Ovis aries: one gene and its partner. The protein of the gene in region 1 purifies or fractionates together with the protein of each later gene. This does not show direct contact. Links are inferred from orthologs where the notes say so. Each region holds a gene or a part of one and is shown on either strand. Other genes may lie near its edges.

The links. The genes of interacting proteins can lie anywhere in the genome.
Region 2: the proteins of MED13 (region 1) and CDK19 purify together in Homo sapiens (affinity purification with mass spectrometry; 6 studies listed by BioGRID and IntAct, counting the BioPlex papers as one, with this or other methods). This does not show direct contact. The link is inferred for Ovis aries from reciprocal best matches to the Homo sapiens genes MED13 and CDK19.

What each region holds. Positions count from the first base shown.
Region 1 is NC_056064.1:10,737,100-10,742,833, reverse strand, and holds the start of MED13 (mediator of RNA polymerase II transcription subunit 13), read right to left. Parts: upstream 3,660-5,734; 5' UTR 2,927-3,659; coding exon 2,861-2,926; intron 1,067-2,860; coding exon 832-1,066; intron 1-831. UniProt on the Homo sapiens protein: Component of the Mediator complex, a coactivator involved in the regulated transcription of nearly all RNA polymerase II-dependent genes.
Region 2 is NC_056061.1:26,908,092-26,913,167, reverse strand, and holds part of CDK19 (cyclin-dependent kinase 19), read right to left. Parts: intron 3,786-5,076; coding exon 3,675-3,785; intron 2,250-3,674; coding exon 2,109-2,249; intron 1-2,108.

The sequences.
Region 1 (5,734 bases):
TTACATTCTTATCATCAAAGATTCGGTTAACATGGACTCTAAAGTAAACACAAGCTTCAGTATTACATGAAGAATTATAGTTTCTCTTTTGAAAGTAACATTTGGTCCTAAATATCAAGAAAATAAGACAGAAGTAATCTTATCAATTTGCTCATAATAAAATTACTTCCCTAACTTTTCAGATTATGACACATGTCCCACTGTAAAAGCTAAACAAGTTGGCACTGTTTCATATCAAAGACAGTCTTTGATGGAACAGTACCTAAAATAAAAGAATCACATTCCAAGAATAAGAAAATTAACATAAGCCTTGATTTGTTAATAATGTAACAACCACAAATAAAAATACTGAAAAAACTATATGCCTAGGGGGGAAAAAAAGCACATGAGAAAGTTACAATATTTCCAGATATTTCTACAACTGTGTGCTTATTTACACAGAAGAGAGTAGTAGCAGAATTGACTCAAAGATGAGTTACACATGGTTTCAAAAGTATTTTTTGACTTTGTTAGGAAATGCTCCCCAATTCCATTTTTCTTAATTTTATTTACTAACATGCCTTCCTTGGGCTGTCTGCCAGAAATTCATGAGAAAGCTGGGAGGTGGAAGAAAGAATAGTTATTCGAGGCTCAAAAAACCTGCCATAAAATGCATAATTTTCAGTAAAATAAAATAACCGCAGTGAAATAAAACATGAAGCTGAATTTTTGTCTGGTTTCACAGTAAACAAATGTTCCACCAAAAAAATCTCCATTTGTAATACAAATGTTTTTAGGAAAAGTATACAACATTGCTATATCTTTAAGTTAGAAATGATAAGCTGCTTTCACCTGATAAGTCATGGTGAATTAGGTCAGCAAAATTGGGGTCTTCACCCCACCAAAATATCCACAATTCTCTTCTTCCAGGTCTCTGATCACGCCGCCAAACACCAAGTACATCTGCCTTAAGGCAGCGACTAAAACTGCTCAAAATGGGGTCTTCCTCTGTCACCGGAAACAGAATAGGGGCAGAAGTTGGGCCTTGCCACACGTATCTCTTCCATTTAATTCCCGTCAAGTCAGCCTGAGGAAAACAAAGTATGATTTTTTTATTATTGCATATTCACTCAAAATCGAAAGTCCTCACTATTAAAGTCCCCTATTTCATTAAGACATTACAATTTTTCAACATATCCTTGAGATACTGAAAACAAACTGACCAAAAAAGAAAGGGGGGGGGGAGTTTATTCTGATAATTCAACAACCAAAAATTAAAGGAAAAGAACAGACACTGAAAAAATTAATACTGACATGTCACTGAATACAAGTCAATAAATGTGTCCCAAGGATAAATTAAAAAGCTTTAATAATGTTAAATATAAACACAGACTTTAATACTGCACACTGAGTAAACATTTGCTCTCAGTCCTAAATTCTGTTCTTACTGGTTACATTTGTTTCTTGGTATCAAACTTACTACAAAATTAACTTTTAAAGATTCATCATTCCATGTTTACAGACGTCACAGCTTTAAGGAAAAGAAATCTCAACTACAAATGAAAACATTCTTGTTAAATCTTTACATATATATCTCTTTAAGGAAAAGTCAAATAGCTGCTCACAAAGAACTGTCAGATTTGTGCTAGTCTTATCTTCAAAGAACCCGATCCTAAAAGTACCAAAAATAGACTGAGTTGGAGAAGACAGAAATGTAAAACCTGCTGTTTGTCTACTATATCTGAAGAGATGCTGATTAATGGATATTGTACAAGAAACATTTTATAAGGGGGAAAGGCATTCAAGATCTCAATTTAGTATCGTAAAAGAAATTATCAGCATGAATTCAGTAATTTTTTAATCTAACTTAAAAGTGCAAGCTTAAGGTGCCAAAAATGAAACTGCTGATACATGACTGGCAGTTTACACTTGCCAACTAGTTGTGCTCCGCCCACTCAATTCACTTACCTATCACACACTCTTAATATTCCTCATAGGACAGGGAAAATGAAAAAAAGAAAGTTACCGAAACTTCAAATCATTGATGAAGCTAAGCTCCTATCCAACTGCAGACTGAGTATTTGCAACAGTTGGTACTTTTTAAAGTCTTTATTCAGATGTTCCCAGACCGGGGCCAACCAACACAACTGCCATCCGTAGAGCCAGCTTCCCCTTGACTTTTCAATAAGAGGAGCAGCCTTCTGTATAAAAATATTTAGTCCAGAACCATAGCATCTCTTCCATAAGTTCGCTCCACTCTCACAAACCTAATGTTCTAATAAAAGCAAGTCGGCTAGAGACTGTCAAAATCTCCAACTGCTTTCAAAGTTTAAAAGAAAAACTACGGAATGGCATTCACTGTTTTTTTAAGAGTCTGAAGTCACCCAAGGAACAAACGAACCCCCTACAGTTTGGCTCATCTTTATAAAGAACAAGCACGTAAAATTAAAAGAGTGCTAAGTTCCGGGGTCTCGTTTATCGGGGGAAAATAAGAGGAGCAGAGCCAGGCAGTGGGAGAGAATGGGCAATAATAGAAAGTGGCAGAAAAGGGATACACGGTCAATAAGGAGACAAGCAACAGTTAAGCCAGCAACACAGGAGGGAAATGCCGCTGTCCTGCCAGGAAAGGAGCCCAAGTTGGGAGACAGGACCGCGGGCGAGAAAAGTGTCGGAAACGGGAGAAAAGGCCGACGCTCCTAGGGCAGCCCGGGCCGGCGGCTCCGGGCCGGCGCGGGGCTCCCGCGGCGCCGGCTCGGGCCGGGCCTCGCCCGGGGACTCGGGCATCTGGATCCGACCCGGACCCCCTCCCCCACGGCCCAAGGGCGCACCTCGCGGCCCCTCCCCCACCGCCCGCCCGCCGCGGCCCCCGCCCGGCACTCACCAGGCAGAAGAGGTTACAGTGACAATCTTCCAGGCTGGCCCCGTTCGGCACGAAGGAGGAACTCATCGTCCCTCACAGCAGCCGCCGCCGGCGCCACAACCCACCATCCGCCATTACCGCCGCCTCCGACCAGAGAGAGAAACAGACACCGGGGAGGGCGGGGGGGTGGTGGTTGGGGGGGCGGTGGAAGAGGAGGCCGCCGGGCCGCCCGCCCTCCCCACCCACCCCCCCGCCGCCGCGAGCAGCCCCCGCCGCCCGGCCGGCACCCAGCCGCCCGGGGCCGAGGGCCGGAGGCGGGAGGGCCGCGCCGCGCTCGCCCCGCCGGCCGGGCTGCGGCCGCCGCGGAGCCCGCGGACGCTCGTCCCTCTTCGGGGGACGGAGGGGATGTGTGCCCCTGCCACCAGAAAAAAATAATAAATTACAGAATAAATAATTAAAAACGAGTCCGAGAGGGCAGAGCCCGAGCCCCGGAGGCTGCTCCCGGGGCGGAGAGGCGCCCGCAGAGGGGCGGGAAGGGCGAGAGCCGGGAGAGAAGCCCAGGCCCCCGGCCCGGCGGCGGCGATGTCCTTAAGCCCAGAGTCTCCTCAGTGGCGGAGGTTGGTGGCGGCGTCTGCGGGCTCAGACCATTCTCTGGCTGTGTCTTCGTGTCGTCCCTGAGCCAGACCGGCCTAACGTCCGCTCTCCTGCGGCCTCACCGCCGGGACGCCGTAGTCTCCCCCATTTTGTGGGCCCAGCGGGCGGTGTTTTTCCCCCTTTAATCCGAATTCACGGGTTTTCCCTTCGCTTTAATGGCGGCCACAGGGACCAGCTCGCCCTCTCTGCTCGCCCATTGGCCGCCTCGAGGTCACGTGGGCCCAGGCTCCGTGGGGAGGGGGAGCGAGAAGGGAGTGAGAGAGGGCCGGGAAGCTTTCAAGCGGAGGCGCTGAGCCCCGGGGGACGGGGCAGCCGGCTGTTGGCCACCGAGACAGCGCCATCTGCTGGGTGCCCCGGCCAGTGTGCGATGACCCGGGCCCTGGCCCTCTCTCTCTCTCCTTACCGGGCAACTGACAGTACCAGAGGGTTCAAATCACAAATCTGAGAATTACGTTGAAATCAGTTTGGATTCTGTGGAAGAGAAAAGTACTGCAAAAATTCCAAGCCAATCTCACTTATTCCTCAAGGCCGTTGGGGTGCGGCACAAACCCCTGGGCTTGGGCGTCAGATCCTCTGAGACCGGACTCGGCCGCTCGAAAGTTGGAATATTATGAAGGAAACATAAATGAAACAGTATAGCCTTGTGGTTCACAGCCCGGGAGTTAGAGTGACACTGCCTGAGTTCGAACTTTGAGCAGATCACTTACCTGCGTTCCAGTTTACTCATCTGTGAAATGAGGAAGACATGTCTCCCTCACGGGTTGTTGTGGTAAATGAGTTAATACAAAGAAAACACGTAGGTAAGCCCAGTGCCCAGCACAGATAAACACTGCTTAGAGTTGTCTATTACTGCTGTCATCATTACCTCGTGTGGTTATTGTGAGGAGTAAGTGACCCAAGTGTATGTAAAATGCCCACTGACAGTGATCTCTCCGTGAGAACCCGCACTTACTTTGCTTTACCGCTGCGTCTCCAGTGTCTCAAAAAGGTTCCTAGCACACAGTAGGTGCTTGATATTTGTGAATTTGCGACTGAATGGAAAGAAGTAGGAGCCAAATAAAATATTCGTTCCGTTCCCAAAAAACATTACAGTTCTTGATTGGATCATACTTCAAAGTAGGAACTCAAGACGTTTTTCCTAAGTTTTAGAAGGGAGAGAAGGGGAGAGAGAGAGAGATGGAAAGGAAAGAGAGCAGCGAGGGGAAAAGAAGGGAAGAGGGGAGAAGGGAGGGAGGAAGAAGTAAAGGTGATTCAAAAAATTGGAGACATCATCGAGTTAGGACTTTACCATAATTTTTCATCTTAGTTGCCTCTGTAAAATGATGGTGGATTCTTCTATGCCCCTTATTCAGCCACAGATTGGAAAGCCTTCCTCCTGTATTGATTCATATATGGTAGTGAAGACCTCAGATATTGAAGCCAAAAACCTACAGGAGGAGTTCTGCCACTTACTAGTTGATCTTGGATCAAATTTGACTTTAGATCAAATTAATTTCTCCTGCTCTCAATTTTCTCATTGTGAAATAGGGATAATAAAAGTACTTTCCTCCTAAAGTGTCTGGTGGATGAAACATTGCAGACATAGGGTTTGCCACAGTGCTTGCTAAATGTTATCTGTTAATATACCTTAAAAAATCATTATTGAGCACACTCATATGAATGTGTTCCTGGTCTGTGCTAGGCCTGGGATACAAATATGAATAAGATATATGCATAACCCTCAACACTGGCCACCTGATGCAAGGAACTGACTCATTAGAAAAGAGGTTGAGGCTGGGAAACATTGAAGGCAAGAGGAGAAGAGGATGACAGAGGATGAGATGGTTGGATGGCATCACCGGCTTGATAGGCATGAGTTGGAGCAAGCTCTGGGAGTTGGGGAAGGACAGGGAAGCCTGGTATGCTGCAGTCCATGGGGGTTGCAAAGAGTCGGACAGGACTGAGCAACTGAACTGACTGAACTGAACTGAAAGATTCCTGAAGCAAGGCAACAAAGGAACCATTTCCCACAGGATAAGATAAAATACAATGTAGGTAATTGCTTGAATAAGGTATGTATCAACTGGCACAAGAGGCGTGCTGGAGGAGAACCAAAGTCAGAGAAGGCGGCTCAAAGTAGGTAGCATTTGAAATCAGATTTGAAGGATAAAATGAATTCTTATAAAGCCCTTTGAAGCAGTTAAATCTTATTAAACCCAATTCAGATCCAAAGGCCACATATCAAAGTCAATTATGCAACCA
Region 2 (5,076 bases), on another chromosome or scaffold:
TTAAGACAAGAGAAATAAATGCCACTGAGGCAGGAAATCTCAGGAGAATCTAAGGAATAATCAGTAGTTCAATAGTATACTGTATGTGAGAGATTATAGGGATATAGGAGAAAAATTTTTAAGGCAGCTAGAGGTATACCTGACAAGACCTCAGAAGCCAAAAAAGGAATGAGAGCTTTAGTCTCTTAGCAGTGAGGAACTATTTCAAAGTTCCTGAGCAGGGACTGAGTAATTATTCTGAAGGTCTACAGTGGACTGGAAGGGAAAAGGATGGCTGACAAGGAGACAAGAGGCTAGCACCATCCTACAAGAAAACGATAGGAAAGGCCTGAACTAGGAACGAGGCATAGGAATAGCAGCAGATGAATGGAAGAGAGACTTCAGTGGGGAAACTGACCGGACTAGACAGGCTCCAGATGTGGAGTACAAGGGTCTGCAAGTGGTAAAAGAAGTATCTCGGCTAGAAGGAGGGTTGTACCATCACCAGGATGTCTATGAGTGTTAGTTGCTCAGTGTGTCTGACTCTGCAACCCCATGGACTGTAGCCCACTAGGCTCCTCTGTCAATGAAATTCTCCAGGCAAGAAGACTGGAGTGCGTAGCCTTTCCTTCTCCAGGGGCTCTTCCCAATCCAGGGATCCAACCCGGATCTCCTGCATTGCGGGCAGATTCTTTACCATCTGAAGCACCAGGGAAGTCCCCATCACCAGGATAGAGGACTAAAAGCAGTAGCGAGTTTGGGTGGGAGAAAACTGAGTCCTGGCTATGCCAGGTTTTAGTACTACTGGACATGCAGGCAGTGCCATCACAAGTAAAATGTGTCAAACTATCTTACTTAGAAAAAATATGAAATTTTACAAAAAAAGAGTTGAGATTAATCTTCATTAAAGCTACAGTTCATGGGGTTGCAAAGAGTGGGACATGACTGAGCAACTAACACACTAATGACACATCCTACTTAGAAGAAATACACAATTTTATGAAAAGAAGAGTTGAGATTAACGTTCAGTAAAGGATTCTGATAAATGATTCAAACACGAATATGACCTCAAGAATATAACTCACAAGGCTATATTAAGTAGCAAATTAAAATCTAAAACCATTTATGAAGGAGGGTTTGACCTAGAACTTCATGTACCCAAGAATTATTTTCATACATGCTGATTCACAGGTAATAGTAAAGCAGATATGTGGAATGCAATGAGAACCTCAGTTTAAAATTATGAGGTGAAATGCTTCTGTTGAAATGGTAAATGCAGCTCTGTGCTGTCCTTTGGCCCCAATTTAACTTAAATGCCATATCACGAGATGCTCAAGTCGGAAGACTAGGCCTAACTGACAAGGTAGCATTCCTTTCTATAATAAATACTTCCCCTCAGTTAAAAGAACTGAGTCGACCTAGATTTATCCCTACTATATCCCTAGAATCTCCAAAAGCCTAAGCAAAATAAAAGTTCCAATTATAAACTCAAGGGTATTACAGCTATTCAGCACCCATATTTCTTAAGAACAAACAAAAGAATTTCATCAACATAAACTAAAATAATAACAATGAAAAGATGTATAACATATAATTTGATATTAATAAATTTTTGTTATGTGTGTGCTGAGTAAAAAAGTAAAATCAAATATTTGAATTGTGGTTAATATGCCTAATAAGTATATTGCCTCTGTTAGATTTATTCATTTACTTAATTCTACTTACTGAATGCAATGTCATTATTTCAGTTCAGCTTTGAAAACAATAAGAACTCAGTCTTTAATCATCAACATTTTTACGAACAGTAAGCAAAATTATGAAAAACAAAATGGATTACAAGGTATTTGTTTTACGTACAGCCATCTCATTAAGATTATGCAGGTCATTTGTTAAAAACCACATTGACACTTAACAGTTGTGTGTAAATGCAAGGAAAGAACATACGCTAAAAGTTAATAATGGTACTCTTTTGATCATAGGCTTATGGGTGATTTTTATTTCCTTCTTTTTGCTTACGTGCATTTTCAAATTTTTCTATAATTAATGTTCATCATAACTGTACCAAGAAGAAAAGTTATTTTTACAAGGAGAGAACAAAACACTGATCAATTTAAAAGAAACATACTTACCAGATCTCTGTGAAGCACCCAATTTGCATGGAGGTAATGGATCCCATCAAGAATCTGGTAAAGTAATGATTTAACCATAGATCTTGGCAACTGCATGGGCTTTTTATTTGCTTTTGATGCACGGTGAAACTTAATAATATGCTAAAAATTAGAAAATATATATTAGAATAACATAGTCTTTGCCTGTGTCAACAAAACACAATAAAGGCTGCAATAAGTACATTTTAAAATTACTTATTAAAGGCCAATAATGACACAAAGAAAAATAAATAATAAGCTCAAACCAAAACAGAATCTATATTGAAGGTGAATGTGACATTATTAATGTGGTTGTTGTGATGACTTACTGAAACCATTAAGATTTGCATTAAGTAAAACCAAGAAGTAAAAAGGGTTTATAATTTAAAACCTGCCTTAAAATAGCATTAATTGTATTCTCTACTGACAGAAGGAAAAGGGGAAAAAAAGTCTGTAAATCTTTACTGTTCTATAAAATAAAGTTAGTACTTAGTGCATTTGGGTAACATTACTGACTGCATGTATATCAGAATTATTGGAAAGCTCCACCTTCTTTTGTCACATAATGAAATTAGGATATAGCCTGAGTAGTCAATAGTAAATAGCAGTCACTAGACACAAGCAGGAAGAGAAAAATGGGGAATTCAACTGCACTGAAATAAATATAAATTGGATCATCATATCCAAATTTTTATGCACATGTTATACTGTGGGAGGGGAAGAAATTCCACCTGCCCCCTGCACTCCCACATCCACCTCCATCTCCATCCAACATTTGCCCAAAACATGCCAACATGGGTACTAGATATTCGTGACAGAAGAGGTTCTTGTCAAGATCTGCTATAAGGACATTTCTTTCAAGGCCTATTAGTCTGTTAAAGTTATTTTTGAAAAGAGTTATAATTTATATAAATGACAAACCACATTCTATTGAATCAAAATTTAATTATCTGAAGTTTGAACTTATTGCCAAGTTTGAATTTGTTTTTTACTTTTGGGAGCTCCTGGGATAAAATGTTTAAATGACTTGATTCCTAACTTTAAACATGTGAAATTAGAATTTTTGGCTTCTTTTATTTATTGTTTTAAAAAAATCCCTAATGTTTGCAGACCTGTACATATTTGTTTGGTGGAGTGAATTTTAAATGGCAAAATGCTGCAAGAGAGGACCTTCACTTAGAGAGGAAAACGATTCACAAGCACATAACTGTTAAATATGAACAGTTAAATATGTGTGCAGTGCAAAAGAAAGTAATTTCCCTAGAACATATTAGGAAACTGCCATTAACTACCTAAAACTACAATCTCCCACTCAGGAACATTTTTTGAAGTGAAATTTCTGAATGTGACAAATACTATAAAACAGGATGTTCATGTTTATTACTCTAATTCTTTTAAATCAAAATTTACCTTTAGAATATTTATTTTGAAACTATGGTCAACAGAGCAAGTTTTCCTTGCTGTACATTAGCAGTATGGAGCACATACATTTATTCTTCATACCTATATAAAATTATTATCCTAAAAATAAAGTGAGTTTAGACTTACCCATAAATCGTGTTCTGCATAATCAAACAGCAGCCACACCTTCCTGTCACTGTGAGAAAGGAACACCTTCTGCAGGGCGATCACATTAGGGTGCTTCAATTCTCGCAAAAGCTGAAGGCAAGAGGAAGAGAAGGGTCACTATTCTGTTAGCAGAGAGTAATGCACTTCCCATAACTTCAAAAGGAAATTTTTGAAAATTTAGCCAATACAGATAACTAGTGTTTAAGGAAAAAAAAAAAAAAAAAAAAAACAACCCGACCACCCAAATACCATAACTTAGAGATAAACTCTGTCCACATCTTGGTACATCTCTTTCCAATCCTTCCTCTGTAATATGTATGTTGGGAAAACGGGATCCTTTTACATGGTAAGATGTAAAATAGTAAACAAAAATAATACCATATTGCTAAATAATGAAGTGTATTTTGGCATGTGTGTAATTTTTTTTTTTTTTGACTAGAGGAAAAGCTTCTAGGGAAGCAGGAATACTGTTTATATCCACTCCAACATAGTATGTGCTCAATTTGACAAAAGGCGGAAAGATGTTTAACAATCCCTAGCTAATTTACCCATGCCAAGAGCCTGAGACAGGTTTTTCAGAAGAGTAGAGAGCATAACAGAATGAGTCTCACACCCACTGATAAAACTGGTATAGAAAAGAGGCCCTATAAAAAGAGAAAAGACTAGGCCTTTCACAAAGCAGAAGCTTCAAGCTGGACTCTGATAATAAGAAGGAAAGATAGACCATATCAGCAAGTGAAAACTTAGTTCTTGGCCCATAACAGGCAGTTGCTTGATAAAATATTAAGCAACAATAACATTAGCTGCTCAAGGTGGAAGTCTTCTAAATATGCCCGCCTCACACCGTCCTTAACCAGGGTTCAGACTTAATAGGTATAAACACACTCAATTTGTTAAATACTTCAAATGCCTTTTAAATGTAAAGCTCCGTGGAAAATACACAAAGGAAGAGGGGACAAAGCTTGTACTGAATAATTTCTATGTGCAAGGTGATTTTATGTACTTGTTTTTTCTCTCACTTAATCCTTCCAACAACCCTACGATGCACACAGAAGCTCGGGTTCAGTGTTAAAAAGTAACTTGACCAAAGTCAAACACTAGAAAGAGAAGAGGTTTGGATTTAAATAGTTCTGCCTGATTCCAAAGTCCATGCTTTTTCCAGTTCAGATAAAGTCCTTGTCATCTGTTCCCACAATGCAGAAGGGAAGACAGACATACAAACAGATGAACGAGGCAGAGAAAAATATTAAATTAGAGAGTTTGACTTTATTAAATGTCTATCCAGAATATGTCCTCTTTCCTGCCTGCAGGGGAAGGAAAGGTAAAACTCACTTCTACACCTAAACCAAGCTCCCAAAACACCAAACACTGGCACAGACCC